Linked DNA regions of Macaca mulatta. The protein of the gene in region 4 purifies or fractionates together with the protein of the main gene of each other region. This does not show direct contact. Links are inferred from orthologs where the notes say so. Each region holds a gene or a part of one and is shown on either strand. Other genes may lie near its edges. The genes, in order: CECR2, BAZ1A, BAZ1B, SMARCA5, HDAC2, MYO1C and BAZ2A.

Evidence for each region.
Region 1: the proteins of SMARCA5 (region 4) and CECR2 purify together in Homo sapiens (affinity purification with mass spectrometry; 3 studies listed by BioGRID and IntAct, with this or other methods). This does not show direct contact. The link is inferred for Macaca mulatta from reciprocal best matches to the Homo sapiens genes SMARCA5 and CECR2.
Region 2: the proteins of SMARCA5 (region 4) and BAZ1A purify together in Homo sapiens (affinity purification with western blotting; 8 studies listed by BioGRID and IntAct, with this or other methods). This does not show direct contact. The link is inferred for Macaca mulatta from reciprocal best matches to the Homo sapiens genes SMARCA5 and BAZ1A.
Region 3: the proteins of SMARCA5 (region 4) and BAZ1B purify together in Homo sapiens (affinity purification with western blotting; 11 studies listed by BioGRID and IntAct, with this or other methods). This does not show direct contact. The link is inferred for Macaca mulatta from reciprocal best matches to the Homo sapiens genes SMARCA5 and BAZ1B.
Region 5: the proteins of SMARCA5 (region 4) and HDAC2 fractionate together in Homo sapiens (co-fractionation; 5 studies listed by BioGRID, with this or other methods). This does not show direct contact. The link is inferred for Macaca mulatta from reciprocal best matches to the Homo sapiens genes SMARCA5 and HDAC2.
Region 6: the proteins of SMARCA5 (region 4) and MYO1C purify together in Homo sapiens (affinity purification with western blotting; 3 studies listed by BioGRID, with this or other methods). This does not show direct contact. The link is inferred for Macaca mulatta from reciprocal best matches to the Homo sapiens genes SMARCA5 and MYO1C.
Region 7: the proteins of SMARCA5 (region 4) and BAZ2A purify together in Homo sapiens (affinity purification with western blotting; 3 studies listed by BioGRID and IntAct, with this or other methods). This does not show direct contact. The link is inferred for Macaca mulatta from reciprocal best matches to the Homo sapiens genes SMARCA5 and BAZ2A.

Annotation. Positions count from the first base shown.
Region 1 is NC_133415.1:34,695,431-34,699,359, forward strand, and holds the start of CECR2 (chromatin remodeling regulator CECR2), read right to left. Parts: upstream 2,801-3,929; 5' UTR 2,715-2,800; coding exon 2,457-2,714; intron 1-2,456. UniProt on the Homo sapiens protein: Regulatory subunit of the ATP-dependent CERF-1 and CERF-5 ISWI chromatin remodeling complexes, which form ordered nucleosome arrays on chromatin and facilitate access to DNA during DNA-templated processes such as DNA replication, transcription, and repair.
Region 2 is NC_133412.1:107,997,650-108,001,615, forward strand, and holds the start of BAZ1A (bromodomain adjacent to zinc finger domain protein 1A), read right to left. Parts: upstream 2,801-3,966; 5' UTR 2,526-2,800; intron 2,059-2,525; 5' UTR 2,001-2,058; coding exon 1,888-2,000; intron 1-1,887. UniProt on the Homo sapiens protein: Regulatory subunit of the ATP-dependent ACF-1 and ACF-5 ISWI chromatin remodeling complexes, which form ordered nucleosome arrays on chromatin and slide edge- and center-positioned histone octamers away from their original location on the DNA template to facilitate access to DNA during DNA-templated processes such as DNA replication, transcription, and repair.
Region 3 is NC_133408.1:50,944,694-50,948,193, forward strand, and holds part of BAZ1B (tyrosine-protein kinase BAZ1B), read right to left. Parts: intron 3,359-3,500; coding exon 3,253-3,358; intron 2,499-3,252; coding exon 2,400-2,498; intron 75-2,399; coding exon 1-74. UniProt on the Homo sapiens protein: Atypical tyrosine-protein kinase that plays a central role in chromatin remodeling and acts as a transcription regulator. Involved in DNA damage response by phosphorylating 'Tyr-142' of histone H2AX (H2AXY142ph).
Region 4 is NC_133410.1:152,366,205-152,369,704, forward strand, and holds part of SMARCA5 (SWI/SNF-related matrix-associated actin-dependent regulator of chromatin subfamily A member 5), read left to right. Parts: coding exon 1-209; intron 210-2,022; coding exon 2,023-2,130; intron 2,131-3,500. UniProt on the Homo sapiens protein: ATPase that possesses intrinsic ATP-dependent nucleosome-remodeling activity.
Region 5 is NC_133409.1:19,023,492-19,026,991, forward strand, and holds part of HDAC2 (histone deacetylase 2), read right to left. Parts: intron 2,378-3,500; coding exon 2,303-2,377; intron 1,836-2,302; coding exon 1,697-1,835; intron 1-1,696. UniProt on the Homo sapiens protein: Histone deacetylase that catalyzes the deacetylation of lysine residues on the N-terminal part of the core histones (H2A, H2B, H3 and H4).
Region 6 is NC_133421.1:3,017,854-3,021,353, forward strand, and holds part of MYO1C (unconventional myosin-Ic), read right to left. Parts: intron 3,063-3,500; coding exon 2,994-3,062; intron 2,893-2,993; coding exon 2,808-2,892; intron 2,709-2,807; coding exon 2,549-2,708; intron 1,964-2,548; coding exon 1,880-1,963; intron 61-1,879; coding exon 1-60.
Region 7 is NC_133416.1:63,788,616-63,792,115, reverse strand, and holds part of BAZ2A (bromodomain adjacent to zinc finger domain protein 2A), read left to right. Parts: exon of another isoform or gene 1-140; coding exon 141-326; coding exon of another isoform or gene 327-382; intron 383-1,046; coding exon 1,047-1,265; intron 1,266-2,019; coding exon 2,020-2,493; intron 2,494-2,632; coding exon 2,633-2,693; intron 2,694-3,500. Other genes in the region: RBMS2 (RNA-binding motif, single-stranded-interacting protein 2), read right to left, coding at 309-382. UniProt on the Homo sapiens protein: Regulatory subunit of the ATP-dependent NoRC-1 and NoRC-5 ISWI chromatin remodeling complexes, which form ordered nucleosome arrays on chromatin and facilitate access to DNA during DNA-templated processes such as DNA replication, transcription, and repair.

The DNA.
Region 1 (3,929 bases), on a different chromosome or scaffold from region 4:
GGCATGCACCACCATGACCAGCTAATTTTGTATTTTTAGTAGAGACAGGGAAACCCATGTTGGCCAGGCTGGCCACTGCGCCTGGCCATTTAAAAAAATTTTTGTTGTTGTTAAGACACAGTCTTATTATGTTGCCCAGGCTGGTCTCAAACTCCTAGGCTCAAACAATCCTCCCACCACGGCCTCCCAAAGGGCTAGGATTACAGGCATGAGCTACCAAACCACGCTTATTTTTTTAAACAAAAAACATTTGTATTCGGCCAGACACAGTGGCTCATGCTTGTAATCTGAGCACTTTGGGAGGCCGAAGCAGGTGGATCACCTGAGTTCAGGACTTCGAGAGTTTGAGACCAGCCTGGCCAACATGGTGAAACTCCGTCTCCACTAAAAATACAAAAATTAGCTGGGTGTGGTGGCGCACGCCTGTAATCCCAGCTACTTGGGAAGCTGAGACAGGGGAATTGCTTGAACCTGGAAGGCGGAAGTTGCAGTGAGCTGAGATGGTACCACTGTACTCCCGCCTGGAAGAGTGTAAGACTCCGTCTCAAACAAACAAATAAAAGCATTTGTATTCAACAATCTCTTTAATCCATATAAGCACACTACATTTGTATATTTTTACCATTTCATTATACTTTGATTTCAAAATAATATGTGATCATTCCATTTATTTGTCAGTTAATTCCTTTCTCCCAAGTGATTGTTATAGTTTCCCTATTATTACCATAATCAAAATCTAAAATGAAAGAAAATGTAACAATAATTACCAGTTGCTGAGATCTACTTGGGCCAGGCCCTCACATGCCTGGCTCATTCAAACCTCACCACTGCCGTGTGGAACACGAGATGGCCAAGATGCAGATGAACAAGCTGAGGCTCAGCAGGGCCAAGTGACAGGTTCAGACCTTGGGCAAAGCCTGGACTGCAGCCAGGGTAACTCCAATCAACTCTCTGTTGTAATTACTTCACTAGTATCCCTGCGGCTTAAAATTTAAATCATTTTACCAATGTTTCCCTGTTTCCCTATTACCAGGATAACTGGGTTGGCTTCAACCTGCCTAAAAACAATTCCTCTAACAACCAATCAGTGTGTAAACCAGGATGGAGGTGTGGCACATCCATAAAACACACTGTGAGGACAACTGAGGATATTTCAATGTGAACTCTTTACCGGATGTTATTACAGAATTACTGTTAATTTTCCTAAACGTGAGTATAACACTGTGGTCACATAAGAGAAAGTCCTTATTCATAGGAAGTACACGTACATGTCACTAGGAAAGGGGAGACTGTCATGACACAGTAGACTTACTTTCAGATGGTTCAGCCAATGTGGCAAAAATGTTAACAATTGGTACATCTAGAGTGAAGGGTATGCAGGGGTTCACTTATCTTTGAACTTCATCGTACATTTGAAAATTTTCAAAGTAAAACAGGAAAAGCTTTAAAAAGCTGAAACTTTAAAAAGTAATTTCACTTTCTGAACATTATCAGTGTTCATCTACTTTAGATGAATTTTCCAAGTTAAAAAAAAATCAAAGACTTTTTATAAATTATATTCTTATCAGATACTAAAAACAAACGGTTTTGGGTCAGGAGTGGTGGCTCATGCCTGTCATTCAAGCACTTTGGGAAGCCGAGGTCGAGACTGCTGAGCCATGATGGTGCCACTGCACTCTACTTTGGGCAACAGAGCAAGACCTGTCTCCAAAAAAATAAACAAATAAAATAAAATAAAATAAAAGCACCTGGTTTAGAATCAAACACTTAAAACTTATGGATGAAAACAGAATGCCAACTTGTAAAAAGGAGTATGAAATCTGAAAATAACTATCTGGCAACTGTGATGTAATGACTGATTCAGGTAAGGTATCACGCATGGATTAAAATTCCTAACGGGTTAATTTGGAGGAGCAAGAGGATGTTTCCAAAGTATCTCCCCACAACGTACTTGTTAATTATAAGGGAAAAACAGTAACTTTGCAGTGGAAAGCAGACATTGCCCTAACCAAGTGACGATCAAAGTTAGTAACCACCACCAGTAAAGGGCCCAGTCCACAGGACGCAACTGCTGATACTACGCACCAAGGGCACAGGCCTCCTCAGCACGCCCGCCAAAAACACGACCCAAGTTATCCCGGGAGGATTCCAACGAGCCCAAGTGGAGGGACCATCAATAAAATAAATGGCTTTCACTCTTCCAAGAAGGTCAAGCTCAAGAAAGACAAAGACTGAAGAACGGCTCTATTTTGGAGGCGACTAAAGAGACCCACCAACTAATGCAATGCATGACCCTAGACTGAAAACCTGAACCAGAAACAATTTCCAAAATAATAATATGTTTAAAATTCATAAAAATAATGTACAAATTATGGGCTCAATTGGTAACATGTGATTTACTATTATCTACAGATCTTACTCAGTATTAAGCTCCTGATTTTAATAATTGTACTTACATGTATAAGAGAATATTCCGGCCAGGCACGGTGGCTCATGCCTGTAATCCCAGCATTTTGGGAGGCCGAGGCCAGCGGATCATCTGAGGTCAGGAGTTCAAGACCAGCCTGGCCAACATGGCAAAACTCCATCTCTACTAAAAACACAAAAATTAGCTGGGCATTGTGGTGCATGCCTGTAGACCCAGCTACTTGGGAGGCTGAAGAAGGAGAATGGCTCTGTCCCAGGAGGCGGAGGTTGCAGTGAGACAAGATCATGCCACTGTACCCAAGCCTGGGCAACAAAGTGAGACTCCATTACAAAAAAAAAAAAAAAGAGAGAGAGAAAGAGAGAGAGAATATCCCCGAGCTGGGCGTGGCGGCTCATGCTTGTAGTCCTAGCTACTTGAGAGGCTGAGTCAGGAGGATTGCTTGAGCCCAGGAGTTCAAGGCCAACCTGGGCAATATAGCGTTGAGATCCCACCTCAAAAGAAAAAACAATGTTTTTAAGTCATAAAAACACTAAAATGTCAAGGAGTGAAAGGTATCACGTCTTCAACTTACTCTCAGTGTAGAAAAACAGTAATTACACAGCTAGAGATGACTAGCTAGTAAGCTGGGCAGGCAGGCAGGCAGTTGGGAGATGGAGGAGAATGGCACCAAAATTCATGTAACTTTTATGATAAAATATAAAACAAAAAGTAACTATGAAGAAAACTTGGTGAGGAGGAAGAGGGAGATGGCAGTAAAGCACATGGTGTAAAACTGAACACGTGGGGAATGTGGGTAGGGAGCTCAGAAATTCTCTGTCCCAGTCTTCTAAGTTTCTGGTAAGTCTGACATTACTTAAAAATAAAGTTTTTAAAGCCAGGCACAATGGCTCACACCTCTGTAATCTCAGCACTTTGGGAGGCCAAGGAGGGTGGATCACTTGAATTCAGGGAGTTCGAGACCAGCCTGGCCAACATGGTGAAACCCCGTCTCTACTAAAAATACAAAAATTATTCAGGCATGGTGGCGGGCGCCTGTAGTTCCAGCTACTTGGGAGGCTGAGGCAAAAGCTTGAACCCAGAGGTGGAGGCTGCAGTGAGCCGAGATCGCGCCATTGCACTCCAGCCTGGGCAACAGAGTGAGACTCCATCTCAAAAAAAATAAAATAAAATAAATAAAGTTTTTAAAAAGCTCCACCCAGTAACAGTAGAGTGGAAAAATGATAAAAGGAGCTCTTAACAATTATTAACATATTTTGTACGTAATTTAAGCAATTGAAGGAAAAACTGAATTTCTTTCACTTCTAAAATGTTTTCTGACTCAGTGCTCTTCGTAAATTGCGTAAAGGATTCCTTTCTAATGCCACGATACTATCTAAAATTTAGTGTCACCCATCTTCCCATATACTCTCGAGAACCTGCACTGGATGTCAGTTTTCCTGTCTCACTAGCAGTATCGTTCAATTCATTTACCAACAAATGCCTCCGCATTTTCCTGAAGTCA
Region 2 (3,966 bases), on a different chromosome or scaffold from region 4:
ACAGAGCGAGAACCTGTCTCAAAATAAGTAAATAAATAAAAATAGTGGAAGATAGATAGTTCTGGAATGTGAAAATTCTTCTGTATTTCAGCATTTCAGATTTCTCCAAGGTTAGAATAATTCGGCTCAAGAACCAAAGTGCATTAAGAATGTTTAATTCACAAAGGATAACAGCCATATTCATCCTACCCTCTAAGGTGAGAAAAGCCCCTTGCTTATATGGAAGGAGAAAACAATTTGAAATTTAAGCCTATTTACTATTTTGTTGGTACTCTCAATTTTCTTTTTAATCATAATTGTTAGCAAGGCCTATAGCTTTAAAATCCTTAAAAAAAATCCTTATCCAATTACCTAATCCAAGTTCACTTAACTAGTTATGAGAACTCTATTTGAGTAACAAAACAAGTCTCTACAGGAGCAGAGCAAGACGTACACTCCTACTTAAAAGTACTGTCTGATGAAAAGCACTCTATTTACTTCTCTAGATATAACATGTTTAATGTGAAACCCTTTCGGTGGAACTAAAGAAAAACGTTTACTTAAAATAAATGCTCAAAGGAACTTTTCTAACCTCACTATTGATTTCTTAGGTGCAGTTTGTCCAAAACCCTCCCTCGGTCAAGCCCCCACTCAGAAAAGGTGCCTTACACGCAACGTTACTTGGTTGCTATTACACTTGGTTTCCAAGTCACAAAGGGATTCCTTTTCAGGGGAGAGAATAAAGCATAAGAAAAAGAGAGGATCACCCTCTTGGAGTGATTGATCAAGTCAGGTTCTCACTTAGAGATCCTGTTTAAACACAAGACGCTAAAACACACCATCTTGCTCCGTGTCACAGGACCAGATCTCTCGGGATAAATTAAGCGACGGGCTGAAAATGTAGGAGCTGAAACTACACCAGCAGCAGCTCCGCGTTCTTATCAAAACAATAGCGAGTGGCACATGTCAGGCAGCCCACATGCGCAGGGGGATAAAGCGGCGCCTGGCTGAGTCTGGAGTTGAACTTGTCTTAACCCCCTCCCCCAACACCCTCCACCGCGCTCCCGGCTACGCGAAAGTGAAAACGAGGGGCGCCTAAGGCCCTGCTTCTTCCCCCTTCCTCTTCCCCTTGCCCAGCCGCGACTTCTTCCTCACTGATCTCCCGGGGGCGGAGACGCTGAGTTCCCCGGAGACGAGAGTTAGTCACCAAGAAGAGGCGGTGACAGAGAGCGCGGCTCCCGTCGCACTCCGAGGCCTAGCAGCGCCGGACGGGAGGCCGCCTGCGGAGGCTCTCGCGTCCCGCGTCCTCCACCCCTGGCCCGCAGGGACGCTCCCTCCTTCCCTTCTAGAACGAGTCTCAACTCCGCTCCTCTCCCCTACCCCAGGCAGCTCCAACGTCAGACCCCACTCCCGACTGAGAAAACGAAGCCCAGCCCAGCCGTTTCCTGCCCACCGGGGCAGGAATTCCCTCCCCCGACCCATGGACTGCGGCCCCACGTCGCTGACCCTAGCGGGGATCCCCTCGGCCGCCGGGAGGGGATCCCGGAACTGGCCCCGGAGTGCGCGTGTGGCCGCGGCGGGGAGGGGCGAGGCGGGGAGTTTCCGCCGCCCCGCGGCCAGGAGGGCGGGAGGGCGACAGCAGAGGCTAAGAGCGGTTCCCGAGGCCGGCCGGGGACCCCAGCCTCCTCCGCCACGACCAACCCGCGTTCCCCACGCGCGCCGCCGCCAGTTGGCCCCGCGCGTTCTCCAAGTGGAGGCTAGGAGGCAGAGAACCGCGGGCCCGGGGCCACCCGTCACTTTCAAGTCACCCCGCCAGAAGCCCAGGGCGAGGAAAAGGAGAGAGACAAAAGGGCGCTGGGGAGGGAGTCCCCACACCCCCCGCGGCCCCGCACCCTGCCCAGCTCTTACTCGTAGTGGCGGAAGATCTCGTTGGTGACTTTACAGTAGAAAACTTCCTCGTCGGGCCGTAGGTCCGCGGGCGGCTTCTGTCTCACAAACGGCTTTCGGTGTAGCAGCGGCATCTCCCGTCCGCCCGCGGGCTCGCCCGGACCCTCGGCCGCCCGCGCCGGCCCCGCTTCCCTATCAAAATTGGAGGGAAAGGAAAGCCGGTAAGGTGGGGAGCGCTCGGCGGCAGCGTGGGCCGGTCCGCGCGCCGGGAGAAGCTCGGCTGCCTTTTGTGTGACTGACGGGCCGCGGCCGCTACCGGAGCCGAGTTCGTTCCTGCCGCTGCCCGGGCGTCGAGCGAGCGGAGCCGCCGCCGCCCCTTTCCCCCGAGCGCGTCCTGCCTCCTCGCCCAGCCGCTGGCTCACAATGGGGCAGGACGCCCCGCCGCGGGGGGCAGTGCGGGAGCGGCGGCGGCGGCCCCCTCCCCCAGCGCCGGCTCCCCGCCCGCCGCCGCCGCCGCCGCCGCCGCCGCCAGGCTCACAACGTGCTCGGCGCGCAGCCGGCCGGCCGGCCAGGGCGCTCGCCGCGGGCGGACCCCAGCGCCGCTCCGCTTTGTTCCCGGCTTGCCTCCACTTCCCGGCCGGCTCCCGAGCGACCCTCACCTGCGAGCACGCCGACTGCCACTTGTCCACCTTCTCCACTACAAAGGCAACGAGGGGAGACCCCGTCCTCTCAGGGGACCGCCTCTCTCCGGCCCCGCCGCGCCCCTGGCCGCCACTTCTCCCGCTGCCACTGCCCGACTCCGCGCGGGGAATTGCGTCCCACCGCCACTTCCCCGCCTCTCGGAGCTCCTGGGAAGTTTCTGATCTACTTTCGGCTCTGAAGGAGGAAGAGCTGTTGGGAGGAGCTTTTCACTCCTCGCTTCTACCTTTTTATTGGCTACTCGATGACTTTTACAGCCTGTCACTGATACAGGAAGAGACAGCGGAGAGCCTGGGAGAGCTACATTATTAATTAATGGAGCAACCCCTCGTGAAGATTCAGAAGCATCCTCCATGTTTGAGATTATCAGCCAAAAGATCTAGGGAAAGCGCTGGCGGTTCATAAACACATGGCTAACAAAGTATATCCTTGAAGTCTGCCACCGACGCTTGACTACACGATGGGAAAAGGGATTCCAATTACGATTTAACTTGTATTTTAAAAATGAGAAAAGAAATGAATAAGAAAATTTGTTGCTATTTTTCTTCTTCCAAATTAGAATCCGTATCTCTAAAAATACTTTGCATGTTTAGTAAACATCTGTCTTGAACTAGAAGATACCTTGACATCAGTTCTATTTAATACTTATGGCAATTAAAAGGTTTAGAGAGCAGAGGAAAAGACCAAAAAAAAAATGTGTTACAAAGTGTCATCATGCTTGTAGGACCCCAACATTCTTGAAACTAACACACCTTTAAAAAGTAATATTTACAATGCTGTAAATATTTGCAAAGTATCAATGTTTAATTCAATTAGAATTTTAAGGATTATGGATTTACTAGCGAAAATTCCCCTAAAGCAACTTTCCCATATCAGTAATTTTTATTTAGGGAAACAATTTTAATGTACATAATACATGTGACCTTGGAATTCAATACAATTTTCGAAACTAGAAGTGACTCAGAACGTTCACTGGATGTGTTTTAAAGTCTTTTTTGATACTGTCCTTAACATTTGCTTATTTGAAATTAATATGAAAGAATGAAGCTAAAAGTTAGTTTTAAAAACGGTTATTCAGGCCGGGCGCGGTGGCTCAAGCCTGTAATCCCAGCACTTTGGGAGGCCGAGACGGGCGGATCACAAGGTCAGGAGATCGAGACCATCCTGGCTAATCCGGTGAAACCCCGTCTCTACTAAAAAATACAAAAAACTAGCCGGGCGAGGTGGCGGGCGCCTGTAGTCCCAGCTACTCGGGAGGCTGAGGCAGGAGAATGACGTAAACCCGGGAGGCGGAGCTTGCAGTGAGCTGAGATCCGGCCACTGCACTCCAGCCTGGGCGACAGAGTGAGACTCCGTCTCAAAAAAAAAAAAAAAAAAAAAAAAAAAAAAAAAAAAAAAAAA
Region 3 (3,500 bases), on a different chromosome or scaffold from region 4:
GGTTGCCATCACAGGATTTTAGACCCAAATTTGGTTTCCGAGCTAGATGAATAGAGTGAATAATGTCCTGGTACCTAGAAGATTTGGGACAAGAGAAAAGGGAAAGAAAGAAACCTTTTGAAGATGTTCTTTAAATTTCAATTACTTAACATTTTATTTCTAGAAAACTTACTTAGATCTCTTTCACCTCTCCCTGGTGTTTTTTCTTTTTTTTTTTTTCCTGAGACAGGGTCTTGCTCTGTCACACAGGCTGGAGTGCAAAGGTGCCATCACAGCTCACTGCACCTTCAAACTTCGGCACTCATGCAGTCCTCCGACCTGAGCCTACAGCTGGGATTACAAGGCATGTGCCTCCACACCTGGCTAATTTTTTTTATTTTTTGTAGGGATGGGGTCTTGCTTGCTATGTTGCGCAGACTGGTCTCAAACTCCTGATTTCAAGTGATCCTCTCCCTTAGGCCTCCAAAACTGCTGGGATTACAGGTGTGCACCACCACACCCAACCACTTCTAAGCTTTTAATGGTAGGAATCAATCTTCATATTTAGTGAACAAAACAGGTCCTTTCAATTCAACACACGCAGCATCAAATGTGCTGCCCAAAGAGAAGGAACATCATAGAACTATATTCCTTTGGGGCTCTGTGTACTGACATTTTTTCCTTTTTTTTTTTTTTTGAGATGGAGTGTCGCTTCGCCCAGGCTGGAGTGCAGTAGTGTGATCTTGGCTCACTGCAACCTCCATATCCCATGTTCAAGTGATTCTCCTGCCTCAGTCTCCCTAGTAGCTGGGACTACTAGGCGCCCGTCACCACGCCCGGCTAGTTTTTGTATTTTTAGTAGAGACGGGGTTTTGCCATGTTGGCCAGGCTGATCTCGAACTCCTGACCTTGTAGATCCACCTGCCTCCGCCTTCCAAAGTGCTGGGATTACAGGTGTGAGCCACTGTGCCCGGCCCTCCTTTGTCTTTCTTAATTTGCCTAGACACATCTGTATTCAGACAACACAATTCTGAATGCAATTTTAATTAATTTACACATTAAGCAGTGGACTAACATCAACATTATGTACCTATTTTCCCTCGCAAAAGTCTGGCAATGGTGTAGAGTATGTACTGAATCACATTTTCCTTCCCTCTTCCATCAAACCTAAACTCAACCATGAAATTGAGCAGAGTCAGAAATAAGAGGTGGCATTAAGCCAAAATCTTATCCTGGCTTTGATAGAAATGTCTACAACAAATATGGCAGTCGCAAATTTAGATGGAGTTGATGCTACTTTGTAGACAGAACAGGGTTTTTGGTTCTTTTTAATTCATACGGCATGAAATTCACCAACTTGAAGCATGTACTTCAGTGGTTTTTGTTGTAGAACCACCACAACTATGTAATTCCAAAACATTTTCATCACCCCAAGCAGGAATCTCTTACCTGTTAGCAATCATCACTCCCACTCTCCCCTTCCCCTATCCTCTGGCAACCACTAATCCACTTTCTGTTTGAAATAGATTTGCCTATTCTAAATGTTTCATTTGAATGAAATCATACACCACATGGCCTTTGATGTCTGACTTATTTCACTTAGCATGTTTTCTAGGTTCATCCATGTTGTAGCACAGAACAGTACTTCATTTCTTTTTGTGGCTAAATAATATTCCATTATTTGAATATTCTAAATTTTGGGCATTTTTTGTTTCATTTTGTTTGAGATAGCGTCTCGCTCTGTCACCCAGGCCAAGCCAGAGTACAAGGGCATGATCTTGGCTCAGTGCAACCTCTGCCTCCTGGGTTCAAGTGACCAACTCAGCTCGGCCTCCCAAGTAGCTAAGACTACTTCATACACAAACCACCACACCCAGCTAATTTTTGTATTTTTTGTAGAAACAGAGTTTCTCTATGTTGCCCAAGCTGGCCTCAAAACTCCTGGATGCCGAGACATTGGCCTATCTTCACCTCTCAAAATGCCAGGATTACAGGTGTGGGCCACCACACAAGGCCTGGATATATACCAAATTTTATTTATCCATTCCATCAATTGATCGTCATTGCCATTGTTTCCACCTTTTGGTTCTTCTGAATATTGACAGAACACTTCTGGACACCCACCCATCTGGGCCTGCACCTGCAAAGCTGTCTAACAACCATGAGGCTCACAGCTTGGTGCTGGCACATGTTCTTTAGTGCATAATCCTGCTACTCTACATATAGATGGCCAAAGGCATATTTTTCCAATAAGCATAATGTGCCAAGAAAATATCAGGTAATATGAACACAAAACGGTTACACATTTAAAATATTTTACTTTAGTAACTTTAATGGATAATAAAAAAAAAAACTCTCAGATATTTATATCCAATGCTAAAGAGAAGTAAGATGTGACGAGTAAGATGAAAACCTCTTACCTCTTCTCTAGTCTCTCTTTAAGTTGACTTTCCCTTATTCCCTGAGGGTGAAGACAGTTTAACAATTCATCCAGCTCCTTTTGACTATCACATAAAAACCTGTAGGGGCAAAACAGACCTGATAACTCTGAAAAAAAAAAAAAAATTCAAAATCAAACACTAAGCAAGGGATCTAGAGTTGGTAGTGGGACTTGGGAGAACAGAATTCCAAATGTGTTCACAGTTTACTATCTAGAAGTAGAATTAAGTAATTTACTATTTTCATGATGACTAATGTTAACTCTGTACTAGGACACCAGAGCCAATATGGTTCCTATTAAAATATTAAATGAAATTTTATAAAGTTAATTAGCATACTTGTCCCTTTCCCTCCAGAGAGTAAACCTATACCCAAAATTCAAAAATGAAACGTCATTAAACCACAGATGATCACAGTTAAAGTCACAGAATGGATCCTCTAAAACCTAGCTCACTGCCTAAAAGCAGAATTGCACACAAAGGAAACTAACAGCTATGCACACAATTTGTTAATTAATAAAAGTTAAGGAAAATCTTAAATACTTCTATTCCCAACCAAATTTAAGCTACATTTTTACTGCTATATAAGATATATCACATAATACACAAAGTTATATTACAAGGGGGGAAAAATCAAAATTCCAACCCTTAAAAAACAAGTATCCTCTTAACGAAAATCAGGTCTGCTAATGCAAGAAGTTTTGGTACCCAAAATATCAAAGTCACACAAAGTATCCTGAGCATTATTAACTCACTGGCATCACTATACTAAATACTTTCTTCCTTAACAATTAAAAGGAAAAAGAAAGAGCAACCAGATGAATGCTCACATTACCATAGGTTCTGTCCTTGTTTAGGTGTGGTTGTCTCTACAGCAACTTCTGTTGCTGGTCCATGTTGTGTGTTCATGTTTGCATTTTTACCTAAGTTTGCTTTCTTACCTAAGAAAAATTGAGATATTAGGTTGACTACAGTAAATGCCCAATTGCTAGTTTCAAACCTAAGCAGTACCCAGTGCCAAACTCAACAATTTGTAACAACACAGATGGTTCCTGTGAAATATCAAATATATCTTCATGTATA
Region 4 (3,500 bases):
GACGGTACAAAGCACCTTTTCATCAGCTGAGAATATCATACGGTACTAACAAAGGAAAAAACTATACTGAAGAAGAAGATCGTTTTCTGATTTGTATGCTTCACAAACTTGGATTTGACAAAGAAAATGTTTATGATGAATTACGACAGTGTATTCGCAACTCTCCTCAGTTCAGATTTGACTGGTTTCTTAAGTCCAGAACTGCAATGGTGAGTGCTCAGGGCTTTTTTGTGTACTATAGCCAAGTTCAGAGTAAGTGTCATCTTTGGTATTCTTTAAGGTGACCTTAAAAAAATCTATGAAGTAGACATTTGTTACAATATTGTTAGTATCATAAAACCTAATAGCAGGGATAACTTACAAGTTTATTGATCCCATCCTTTAATGTCTTACATCTTTAAACGTCACTATATGGTAAGACTAGCTTTTCAAGTTCTAAGTGGGAGGAAGTATCAGTTTCAACTTCTGAGTGTTACGACTTTTTGGTTTTTCAAACGAACATATTTCTATAAAGAAAAATGGTCCTTGCATTCAGGCATCTGCATACCAGAATGCTGAGTCTGGATTATTTTAAGATGGCTTATTGTAGTAAACACTATTTTTGTACTGATTTAATGCTAGGTTTTGTTTTTATTCCCAATGTCTGGCTAACCATTTCTGACCAAATAGCCCCATTTCTAATAACCTAAAATTTGAATACAGAAAAGTTTAGCTTTGATGGATTGCTCCTTTTCTTCCTTATTTCACCACCATTGAACTTTGAGCTTCAACTTGTTTTCTGCCAGATGAGGATAATGCTAATAAGTTCTGTAGTCTTAAGTTTGGGATATTCTGGGATAAACAAAGTTTAAACATCTTTTTGTTTATAGTAAGATTTCTCTGTATGTTTAAAGTAAAATGTCACTTTGTAAGACAGTGGATAGTAAGCAGTATTTTCGTGTTTGACCACTGAAATTTTTATTTCACTAGACATCACTATTTTGTGATACCCAGGTTTGGGAAATGTACTAAACTTAAATACATGAAGCTACTTTGAAGATAAAACACTGTGTAAATATATAATTAGAGAAAAGATCCAGTTGCTGAAGCTTATTTCTTAAGTGGGAACAGTTATAGAGTTAATAAAGAATAATTTTATAGTGATTGTAACAAGACAGTGCCATGTTAATTTACCTAGTACAGTACCATAATTTAAAACTCTGTTACTTCTTAACATGTTCCATGTTAAGATGCACAAAAAATGATAATGTACTTTTCTATCTCTATATACTATTTCTAAGCCTTGTGTGGTGTATTCTATAGAGTAGTATTTTAAAATTATTTTACTGTAGTTGTGTGTGTAGTAGTATCACTTACTATAAGAAAAAAATAATTTTGCCCTATAAGAAAGGGAGCTGCTAACCATGCTAGCCATGCAAATGGACTTCTCTTTCTTTCAGGGTTATCTGCTACTTCTAGGTTATACTTTAAATCTTTTCTGGAGACTGTATGTCCAGTTTGCCAGAGAGAGATGAGGTAGAACTCATCGTAGACTTCCATGGCTGGTTTTCCAAAATTGGGAAAGGTGCCATGTGATTGATTGACCACCATAATTCTAGTGATACTTTGAAGGGAAAGATTATACACACCTGTTAAAGTTCTTGTTTTTGACCCTCACATACGTACGCTATTAATCTATTTAAGTTTTGGATATGAGTAGCACAGTACTTATCAGACATAAACACTAAGTAGCAGTATTGCATATGTTATGAGATGTTCATTTTTATTGCTTTAATTCCTAAGTGAAGGAAGAATTTTTGAAGAACACACAGTAGTTTGGCTTTAAAGAATGGAGTAAAAACATTATTTACAAATATCTTGCTTTTAATCTTCATAGCATGAATTGTGTATGAAAATCTTTTTTTTTAAATTAGGGTATATTAGTGGTTTTATACTATCCTATTAAAACATACTTTGTTTTAAAATTGAAATCATGAAACTTGTAGATGGAAAGTACATGTACTGTGTTTGTTTATAATTTAGGAGCTCCAGAGGAGATGTAATACCTTAATTACTTTGATTGAAAGAGAAAACATGGAACTAGAAGAAAAGGAGAAGGCAGAGAAAAAGAAACGAGGACCAAAGCCTTCAGTAAGTATTCATGAATATGTAAATATGTGGATAATGTAAATTTCTCCTTTCTAAGTATTTAACACTGCTTGGCTGTCATTGATGTGTTAGTCCCTGTTGTGCACCCCATCCATTGCCTTTAATTTTTTTTTTTTCCCTTAAGGGGGAACCCAAAGTCATAATTTGAGATTCTTCCACTTTCAAATTTAAGTAGTGGCATAAATTTTTTATTTTTAGTTGTTATGAGTAGGTATATGTATTTATAGGTTACGTGAGATATTTTGATACAGACATGCAATAAGTAATAAGGACATCAGGGTAAATGGGGTATTATCATCTCCAGCATTTATCCTCTGTTACAATTTAACTCTTAGTTATTTTAAAATGTATAATTAAATTATTTATTGCTGTAGTCACCCTGTTGTGCTATCAAATACTAGGTCTTAAGTCATTCTTTGTATTTATTTATATCCATTAGCCAGCCCCACTTTCCCCCACCCCACTACCTTTCTCAGCCTCTGATATCCATCCTTGTACTCTCTGTCTCCATGAGTTTAAATTATTATAATTTTTAGCTCCCACAGATAAGTGAGAATATGCCAAGTTTGTCTTTCTGTGCCTTGCTTATTTCACTTAACATAATAAACTCTGGTTCCATCCATGTTGTTGCAAATTATAGGGTCTCATTGCTTATGGTTGAATAGTATTCTGTTGTGTATACATACCATGTTTTCTTTATCCATTTGTCTGTTGATGTACACTTAGGTTGTTTCCAAATCATGGCTACTGTGAATAGTGCTGCAGTAAACATGAGAGTGCAGATATCTCTTTGATACACTGATTTTTTGGGGGGTGTATACCTAGGAGTTGGGATTAGTGTATTGTAGGGTAACTATATTTGTAGTTTTTTGAGGAACCTCCAAATTGTTTTCACAGTGATTTGCATTCCCACCAACAGTATATGAGGGTTCCCTTTTCTTCACATTCTTGTCAGCATTTGTTATTGCCTGACTTTTGGATAAAAGCCATTTTAACTGGGGTGAGATGTTACCTTATTGTAGTTTTGATTTGCATTTCTCTGATGATCAGTGATATTGAATAGCTTTTAATATGCTTGTTTGCTATTTGTATGTCTTCCTTTGATAAACATATGTTCAGATCTTTTGCCTATTTTTAAATTGGACTGTTAGGATTTTTTTCAGTAGAGTTGTTTGAGCTCTTAAATATTCTGGTTATTAATCCTTTGACAAATGGGTAGTTTGCAGATATTTTCTCCCATTCTGTGGGATGTCTCTTCACTTTGTTGATTGTTTCCTTTGCTGTGCAGAAGCTTTTTAACTTAATGTGATCCCATTTGTCCATTTTTGCTTTGGTTGCCTGTGGGGTATTAT
Region 5 (3,500 bases), on a different chromosome or scaffold from region 4:
ACTCATGAGACTATTCTCATAAGAATATAAAGAGCGTATAATAGTATAGCAAAATTTCTTCACAAAATTTAAAAAACAGAAATGAGGCTGTGATCAAGGTAAAGTTTCTGAGTGGCTCATGTGTTAGATAAGCAAGGAAAGCTGTGCACCAAGTCAATTTATTAAATCATGTTTGATTACACCACCCAAAAAAATTGTGTCCAGAGAAATTAAAGTTGTTTAAAACTATTAGCTGAGTGGGCAAGAACTTGCTCAAAGAGTTGAAGACACTGGAACCAACATCAACAGTCAATTAAAACACAAGGCAAATGATTGCAAATGATTTTCCTTTGCTCCTGATGAGCTGACAAGATGTTACACTGATCCTGCTCAATTACTGTTTATTTGAGGAGTCAGTATCAATTTTCAGTGACTGAAAAATCAGCCTCTATGGATAGCATGCATGGAATAACTACAAGCAAAAAACAGCTCAGTACAATATAAAGTAGAATCTGCTAAGATGTGTCATAACTGATGGCAAAAAATAACATTGCAAATGTCCACATTCATAAGTACCTCTACAGATCTCTCTCTCTCAAACTGCAGCCACAGCTAAGGAAAAATAACTCCTGCAGCAACTCAGAGATAATTTTATATCCATCAGTAGAGAACAAAGCCTCATTCACATATGGAAGTTAGGCAGTTAGACTAACTCAACAGGTAAACAAATTTCCTTAAATACTGGTTTCAAATTTTTGTCTTCAATTTACAATTTACAAAATACTAGAACATAAACTTCCAAGGTCATTGTCATTTTTTATTAGTTGAAACTAACTAAAATGAAAACTGCCAAACTACTTTTAAAAAAGGATATTTAATGGGAGTTTTGACATTTACATACACTTCTAATTCTTTTTTTTTTTTTTTTTTTTTTTTTTGAGACAGAGTCTTGCTCTGTAGCCCACGCTGGAGTACACTGATATGATCTTGGCTCACTGCAACCTCTGCCTCCCAGGTTCAAGCAACTCTCCTGCGTCAGCCTCCTGAGTAGCTGGGATTACAGGCACGTGCCACCATGCCCGGCTAATTTTTGTGTTTTTAGTAGGATGGGGTTTCACCATGCTGGTCAGGCTGGTCTTGAACTCCTGACCTCATGATCCACCCACCTTGGCCTCCCAAAGTGTTGGGATTACAGGCGTGAGCCACGGGCACCCAGCCTTTTATACACTTCTAATTCTTTTTTTAAGGTAGGATCTCACACTGTTGCCCAGGCTAGAGTGTAGTGACAGGAACATGGCTTCCTGCAGACTCTACTTCCTGGGCTCAGATACTCCCACCTCAACCTCCTGGGTAGTTGGGACTACAGATGCATGCCACCACATCTGGCTAATTTTTTTCTTGGCAGAGATGGGGTTTTGCCATGTTGCCCAGCCTGGTCTCAAACTCCTGGGCTCAAGAGATCCACCCACCTCAGCCTCCCAAAGTGTAGGGATTACAGGCCTCGGCCATAGTGCCTGGCCACACACTAACTCTTAATAATTGAAGATTTGGGCAAACTTCCTGCATTTCTTCATTGTTTTGTAATGAATTCCCAGAAAATTCACCATTAACTATTTCAACCTATGGCTTACCTGATTTTTTTTAAGCCACAGACTTTTATTGTGTTTTAATGAAAACATTTTATCACTGAAAAAAGTACCAATATAAATTAACATACTTTAGTAATTCAAGGATGGCAAGCACAATATCATTAACATAACAGAATCCTGATGCTTCTGATTTCTTAGCATGATGTAATCCTCCAGCCCAATTAACAGCCATATCAGTCTGTTGTCGGTTTAACTTCACGGCTCCAGCTAAGAAGTAGAAACAAGGTAGACTTTTTAAATATTTAACATAAAAAATTAGTACAACGAGACGAAAACCCTACAAGTGTATGCCATGCATAAGAAAGAGCTTAAAATCATAAAACTTAACAAAAATCATCTATGACACAAATAGGAGTTTCTCCTTAGAAAAACATTCTCCCAGAGCTGCGCCCTGAGATTAAATAATGGTTTATGTAGATGGTGGTACTAACAATGATAGCTAGAAGACAAGTGGGATGAAAGAAGTCTGTAAGTGAAAAATGTAAGTTACAAAAGTATTTAAGTCACAATAACAAAACAGAGGTTTGAAAGCAAATTGTACTGTACTATAAACATACTGATTTCCTTTTGTTATCAAAATTCACAATCATTAAAACTCCTGCTTTACACAAATAACCTGGAAGATACACACCAAATTTAGAACAACTTTTAAATCTGATTGTATTAGCACTTACCAACTGAACCACCAGTTGAGAGTTGACAAAACTCAAAGAGTCCATCAAACACTGGACAATCTTCTCCAACATTAACTGTGGAAGATGGATTTCATTAATTTCAACACACTCTGCAAATTAATGAAAGCCTTTTCTTACAAAAACTATTTCCTACAAATACTTTTTTTGCTTGATGCAATCATCAAACATACACTTCACAGTGTAATATAAAGTTTACAACTTTAAAATATATTTATTGTTTTATCCAAGGTAATTACAGTGTTATCTGTGAAAGATCATCATCAAATCTTATCAGGAGTATCTGTGGAATATTTCTGGTCTATTAACAAGAACTCAATAGTTGTCTATGCACAACAGTTCTCATTTAATTAAAACACAGGCTTAAATTTTCTAGACCTTTCCCCTTAATATTACAGTAAGTTAACATTCTAAAAGTAACTTCAATTGCTGTATGATTTACTTTCTTTAAAACTCCTTAAATACGTATTAATATCTGTAACTTTGAAATGCATGTCAGGAAGTTACTAAACCAAAAAGATGTAACAGCTGGTTGCCTATTTCCGTGGCTAATCTTGATCTTGAAAGCTTGTAAGAATTAACTAGGTTCATGGGAGCCAAAATACAGAAGGATATTAAAGACAACAAGGAAAAAACATATACAGATAAATAACACAACATCACACATTTAGTTCCTCAGTATTGACAGAATGAAGGGGATATGGCAGACATATATAACCCTTTCTTAGTCTTTCCCTATGCCCTTGAATTGTAACCTCTTCAAGAATAAGGGTCCTTGTTTTATATATTAATATCTTTGTACATCCTTAAGTCACAAGCACTATAAGAAATACATTTTAGTTTCTTACTGCTCAGATAGATCATAATTTTTTTTTTTTTTTTTGGATACAGAGTCTCACTCTGTTGCCCAGGCTGCAATAGCGTGAGCTCGGCTCATTGCAACCCCCACCTCCGGGGTTCAAGCAATTCTCCTATCTCAGCCTCCTGAGTAGCAGGATTACAGGTGCACGCCACCACACCCAGCTAATTTTTTTGTACTTTTTTTAGTAGAGACAGGGTTTCGCCATGTTGGCCAGTCTGGTTTCGAACTCCTGACCTCAGGTAATCCACTCACCTCGGCCTCCCAAAGTGCTGGGATTACAGGCGTGAGCCACCACACCCAGCCAGGATCATAAGCTTA
Region 6 (3,500 bases), on a different chromosome or scaffold from region 4:
CTGAGGGTAATTATCCTTCTTGCCCTTGAAGATCTCACTAGCCACGGCCTTCTGCTGCAGCTAAGGAGACAAGGGGGGTGAGGAGAGTATCACGGTGGGGGGTACTATCTTGGGGGGCAGAGCCAGCCTTAGGACCTGAGACAGCCTCCCTCACCTGCTTGCTGGTCCCCCTCTTGCTCAGCACCAGGAGGTTGAGCCCTGCCCCCCACACTCCCATCAACCCCCCACTTCCTGACCCTCTGCCGCCACCAAACACTCCCCAGCGGTGTCATGAAGGCACTGCCGGGTTTTGAAACTAGCCTTTGGCCGGGCGCGGTGGCTCAAGCCTGTAATCCCAGCACTTTGGGAGGCCGAGACGGGTGGATCACGAAGTCAGGAGATCGAGACCATCCTGGCAAACACAGTGAAACCCCGTCTCTACTAAAACTACAAAAAACTAGCCGGGCGAGGTGGCGGCGCCTGTAGTCCCAGCTACTCGGGAGGCTGAGGCAGGAGAATGGCGTAAACCCGGGAGGCGGAGCTTGCAGTGAGCTGAGATTCGGCCACTGCACTCCAGCCTGGGCGACAGAGCGAGACTCCGTCTCAAAAAAAAAAAAAAAAAAAAAAAAAAAGAAACTAGCCTTTGTAATGTTTCCCCACCCCATCAGGCCCTGGTGGCCCTGAGACTCAGCTCCAGCTTGGGGTCTTCTAAGTAGCAGATCACTAATACTCAAGGTTACTAGAGGTTATCTATGCTGGGTGGGTGTTTTAGAATCATCCAGTACTGAGTTGGCAAAAACACGGCACATCAACCAATGCCTGTAATGAGGGCAAACATCACCAATCCATCCAAGTGAAGATGCAGACTTTTCAACACAGGGTTCTGAGCAGTCTCTACCAATCAAGGGCAGTTGGCCCACAAGGTGAACCCTATTGGCCACCCCAAATGTACTCCAGCGTCCACTTCCTACACAAGGCCCAGCAGGGCCTGGCATCCAACTGAGGTCGCCAGTAGACCGGGGTAAATACAGTAGACCAAAGAAACGACAGCAGACAGGGGTAAATACAGCAGACAGGGGTAAATACAGCAGACAGGGGTAAATACAGCAGACAGGGGTAAATACAGCAGACAGGGGTAAATACGGCAGACAGGGGTAAATACGGCAGACAGGGGTAAATACGGCAGACAGGCGTAAATACGGCAGACAAGCGTAAATACGGCAGACAGGGGTAAATACGGCACACAGAGGTAAATACGGCAGACAGGCGTAAGTACGGCAGACAGGGGTAAATACGGCAGACGGGTAAATACGGTAGGCGGGGTAAATATGGTAAACCGAGGTAAATACGATAGACGGGGTAAATATGATAGACAAGGTAAATACGATAGACGGGGTAAATACGGTAGACGGGGGTAAATACGATAGACGGGGTAAATACGGTAGACGGGGGTAAATACGATAGACGGGGTAAATACGATAGACGAGATAAATACCATAGACGAGGTAAATACGGGGTAAATACGGTAGGCGGAAGTAAATACGGTAGACGAGGGTAAATACGGTAGGCAGGATAAATACGGTAGATCAAAGTAAATACGACAGACGCGGTAAATACGGTAGGCCGAGATAATACGGTAGGCAGAGTAAATACGATAAGCCGAGATAAATAAGGAAGGCAGGGTAAATACGGTAGACCGGGGTAAATACGATAGACGAGGTAGAGTAGACCGGGGTAAATACGGTAGACTGGGGTAAATAGAATAGACCAGGGTAAATACAGTAGGCGGGGTAAATACGGTAGACCAGGGTAAATGCCCCTCTAGGCCAACACTCTCTGAGGAATGCCTGCGGTTCCCTGACTCCACTTCCTCATCCTCACCCAGCACCACTCTCCGTACCTGCTGCTTCCACTCAGGGCTGATGCTCCGGCAGTATTTCCACACCATGTTCTTTATGCACAGCTCCCGCAGAAGCTCTGAGGCCTGAAGGGAAGAGTGAGGTCAGAGCTCCTGGACACCCTGGGCCCTTCCCTCTGAAGACATCGAACATATGTTACCCCAGCCTTTGGATAAGCAAAGCCCCCTCCATCTGGACAATGCTTCCACTCCTGAGTCAAGAGACCTTACTCAGCAGGGCGCGGTGGTTCACACCTATAATCCCAGCACTTCGGGAGGCCGAGGTGGGTGGATCACCCGAGGTCAGGAGTTCAAGACCAGCCAGGCCAACATGGTGAAACCATATCTCTACTAAAAATAAAAAAATTAGCTGGGCGTAGTGGCAGGTGCCTGTAATCCCAGCTACTTGGGAGGCTGAGGCAGGAGAATCACTTGAACCCGGGAGGCAAAGGTTGCAGGGAGCCAAGATCGCGCCACTCCCTGGGTGACAGTGTGAGACTCCATCTCAAAAAAAAAAAAAAAAAAAAAAAAGAGAAACCTTACTTTTCACTGCCCAGCTCTGGTCCGGGCCCTCCGTGAGCCCCTCCCTGACCGATCCTTTGGCCCCAAGAAATCAGACCCTTCTGCTGTGTACTTTGATGGTCCCTAACTTGGCAGGGGGTGCCCACAGACCTCACGCAGGGCAGGTGGGGGTGTGGGCCAGGAGGTGTCCAGGACATTCCGGGGCAGCTGCCGCCGCAGGTTTAGCAAAAAAGAGGTGCGCACGTGGTCCAGGAAGAAGGCGTTCTCGGGGCAACGGGGCGCGTGGCGCAGGATGAAGCCTCGGATGAGCCTGGGGTCGGGGGCCAGACAGGGTTGAGGGCGAGGAGGCTGGTGGTGAACCCCCCACACGCCCTGCTCTGCAGCCCCCACAAGGCACCCTGGTGCTCACCGCCGGATGGTCTGCGCTGCCCACTTCCTCTTGGTTGCCTTCCTCCGGCCCAGCGTTCCACGCCACCACGACTGGATGCAGATGGCTGTCGTGGAGACCACAGATGGCTGACCTCCATCTTCTTACCATGGTGGCCTCCCCTGGCCCCAGACCCCGCCCCTCCTGAAAACCCATGGGCCCACGAACCTGATCGCTTCACCCGGAGGAATTTCTGCCGCCAGTGAAAGCCCCTCCAGGCAGCTTGGATCTTGGTGGCTGCAGTTGGGAAAGAAAGGCAATTGGCCAGAGCGCGGGGAGCCAGCTGGGAGCCTGGTGCCGTCTGCACTCCATGAGTGGCATGAATGGGACAGTGGCCGAAGGAGCCAGCGAGCAGCAGAGTAGTGAAGAAGAATGAATGTGGGGACTGCCCGGAGAAGGGGGGGCAGTGGGTGCGATGGCGGGCGTGAGGCTGGAGCTGGTAGGGAGGGGGTTCCAAGTCAACTAGTGGACTCCCTGGAGGAGGACTCCCTGGAGCTGGGTGTGGGGCTGGGGCTGGTAGGGAGGGGGTTCCAAGTCGACTAGTGGACTCCCTGGAGCTGGGTGTGGGGCTGGAGCTGGTAGGGAGGGGTGGACTCCCTGGAGAAGGAGCCCAAGGGAGTGACTTCCCTGCTTCCCGGAACAGACCCCGTGCGGCAGGAAAGGTGGGCTTCTCTC
Region 7 (3,500 bases), on a different chromosome or scaffold from region 4:
TCGGTTCCCAGCAAAGAACTGGCCGCAATAAATGTTGAATGAATGAACATCCTTCTAGCAAAGACAGACTGCCTAATATAGCTAAATGAACCAATATAAGGCACTGATTTTGACTTTTGGTCTCTCCTGGGATTTCCTAGAACTGAAGATGTGTGGCTACAATGGCTCTGTCCCTTCTGTGGAATCGTTACACCAAGAGGTCTCAGTCCTGGTCCCTGACCCCACAGTGAGTTGTTTAGATGATCCTTCACATCTTCCTGATCAACTGGAAGACACTCCAATCCTCAGTGAAGACTCTTTGGAGCCCTTCAACTCTCTGGCACCAGGTAGGTTTGGAGGCTGGCCCCGTTTAATTTATCCATGCACAGTAGCCAACCTTTACCTGAAAGAGACAGTAAAATGGGAAAAGTATTAGGGAATCCAGGGCATTGGGGCTTCCAGGTAGGCCTAAGGCAGACCACAGTTACATGCCACTGGCCTTGTTGCACTAACTGAACTCTGAGCTGAATTGGTTTATGTCCCAGGTTTTTTCCCAGTATTACTTTTGGCCAAGAGCTCTGGGCTGTAATAATTCACTGGATAGGGACTTATTACCACACAGTTGATCTTTTTGGGTTCTAACAAACTAGGAAGGAAACATTTGTCAGTGAGCAGTTACCTTTTACCCCACTGAAGTACAAGAAAGACATATTTTATGATAAATCCTAGAATTTTGCTAGGTCTCTGGGTAGATAATACCACCAATGCCTTTCCTTCCATTTTCATCTTGTAGAGATGAGGTCTTGCTATGTTGCCCAGGCTGGTCTTGAGCTCCAGGCCTCAGGCAATTCTCCTGCCTTGGCCTCCCCTCAAACTTTTATGATCCCTACAATCTCATGACTACTCTTTCAGGGAGAAGGCTTTAGTTGTTATCTAATTTAATATTAGGAAGAATCTTCACACTGTGGGAACTAGAATTGGATATTTTCTGACCAGTGTTTCTTAAGTCTTGCTTTCTGATTTTTTTTCTCATTATCCTGCTCTGATTTTTCTACCCTTGTGAACAGAGCCAGTGAGTGGAGGACTATATGGTATTGATGACACAGAGCTAATGGGTGCAGAGGACAAGCTGCCTCTTGAGGACAGCCCTGTGATTTCTGCCCTTGATTGCCCTTCCCTCAATAATGCTACTGCCTTCAGTCTCCTGGCAGATGATAGTCAAACATCAGCCTCTATCTTTGCCAGTCCCACCTCTCCACCTGTCCTAGGGGAGTCTGTCCTGCAAGGTAAGTGAGGGTAGGTAGGACAAAGAAAGATGAGAGAATAAGTTTCACAGTTAGGGCCTTAAGAGTGGGAAATCTGACCGGGCGCAGTGGCTCACACTTCTAATCCCGTCACTTTGGGAGGCCGAGGCGGGCGGATCACCTGAGATCAGGAGTTCGAGACCACCTGGCCAACATGGTGAAACCTCGCCTGTACTAAAAATACAAAATTAGCCAGGTGTGGTGGCACGCGCCTGTAATCCCAGCTACTTGGGAGGCTGAAGCAGGAGAATCATTTGGCCCTGGGAGGTGGAGGTTGCAGTGAACTGAGATTATGTCATTGCGCTCCAGCCTAGGCAACAGAGCGAGACTCCATCTCAAAAAAAAAAAAAAAAAAAAAAATGGGAAAGCACTTGCTGGGAGCTGAGGGGCTATGGGATAGTGTATGGTGGGACTGAAAGAGGCACAGACTGCTGTACTCTGACCTGTGCCCTCTGCTTTGAAGAGCTTGTGAGACTTGGAATTTGTAGGGAGAAGGAGGCCAGAGCCTTTACTGGCACCAGGTAAAAGGTGTTTCTTCACACAGTGACATCTGTAGCATCTTTACCCTTTAATCTTCGTGATTGGTTGGGAGAAAAAGCTGCTACTTTTTCCAACCCTAGGGAAGACCCCTTGAAGTAACCCTGTTTAGCTTGGTCCAGGTTTGACTGAGTAGATTCTCTTGTTTTATGTGATGCCTTTTTTTTTTTAAAGCCTATCCTGTCCCTTTGGATTCTAGATAACAGCTTTGACCTGAACAATGGTAGTGACGCTGAACAGGAGGAAATGGAAACTCAGTCTTCAGACTTCCCACCATCCCTGACCCAGCCAGCTCCTGATCAGTCATCCACTATTCAGCTACATCCAGCAACCTCACCAGCAGTCTCGCCAACAACCTCCCCAGCAGTCTCCCTAGTGGTTTCTCCAGCAGCCTCCCCAGAAATCTCTCCAGAAGTTTGTCCCGCAGCTTCTACAGTTGTCTCTCCAGCAGTCTTCTCAGTGGTCTCTCCAGCTTCCTCAGCAGTCCTCCCAGCAGTTTCCTCAGAAGTCCCCTTGACGGCTTCAGTGACATCCCCAAAAGCCTCTCCTGTAACTTCCCCAGCAGCTGCCTTTCCAACAGCCTCCCCAGCAAATAAGGATGCCAGCAGCTTCCTAGAAACCACTGCTGACCTGGAAGAGATCACTGGAGAGGAACTCACTACTTCTAGTAGTGGTGAGTATCCAGATTCTATTCTATCCCTGTCTGGTTCCAAGAAACTTTTCTGTCCCATGTTGCAGTTAGCCTTTCCCTGCTGGTCTATTGTTTAAATATTTTGCTTGAACTCTTAACTTGGGTATCCCTTCCTCCCAAGGTGATGTCATGAGGAGACGTATTGCTACCCCAGAAGAAGTTCGTCTTCCCCTCCAACATGGGTAAATGCTCTAGTTTGCTACATTTATTGACCTTGACAAGTTTAATGCACAACTCTAGAAAGAAGGGAATGCCTCTTTTCCTCTGAGATGGGGGAGGAATGAGCCATACAAGAGTAGATTACAGGACAGTTATCTGCAGTGATAATGTTTCTTGGCATGAGATTCCTAGGTTTTCCGTCTTCTCTCAAGGTCTATCTTCCATCACCTATTCTTTCTTCATCTTGTAGTGACTCAATTTTGCCTAAGGAGCTCCAGCTATTATCTTTTTCAAACCCTAGGGCTTACATCCAAACTAGCTGGCTTGTCCTATTTCTGTAGAGAAGGGATAGTAATGAATGAGGAGCGACTTAGTACTAATGAATTGAGGTGGTTTTGTTGTTTTAATGCTCTTAGGAGAGGTGAGGGCAGGAACAGTACATGACCAAAATGAACAAACTAGCTGACACCAGGGCCTTGTGGAAATAACTGCCTTCCTGGATCTTCCCCACCCCTCCCCTTCAAGGCTACTTGTGGTCACCAAGTCTGAGTACTGCTTAAAATTTTGAGAGAAAGATTAGAGTTAGTCTTAGAATAATATTGCTCAGAACACAGAGTTCCTAACTAAACCCTGGCATATTGAGTCTTTTCATGGAGTCAGCAGCAAATTTACTTTTCTGCTTGCCTCCCTGTCCTTTGTCTTCTGCTTTTATTCCCCTTAGGTCTTTATCCTCTTTACTGGAAATCCAGTAACTGCCCTGAATGGCTCAGGGAGGGGTTTCTGACTGCTTATCTCACTGATTTTGTAAAGGGGGGTGGAGATCTCTGAGC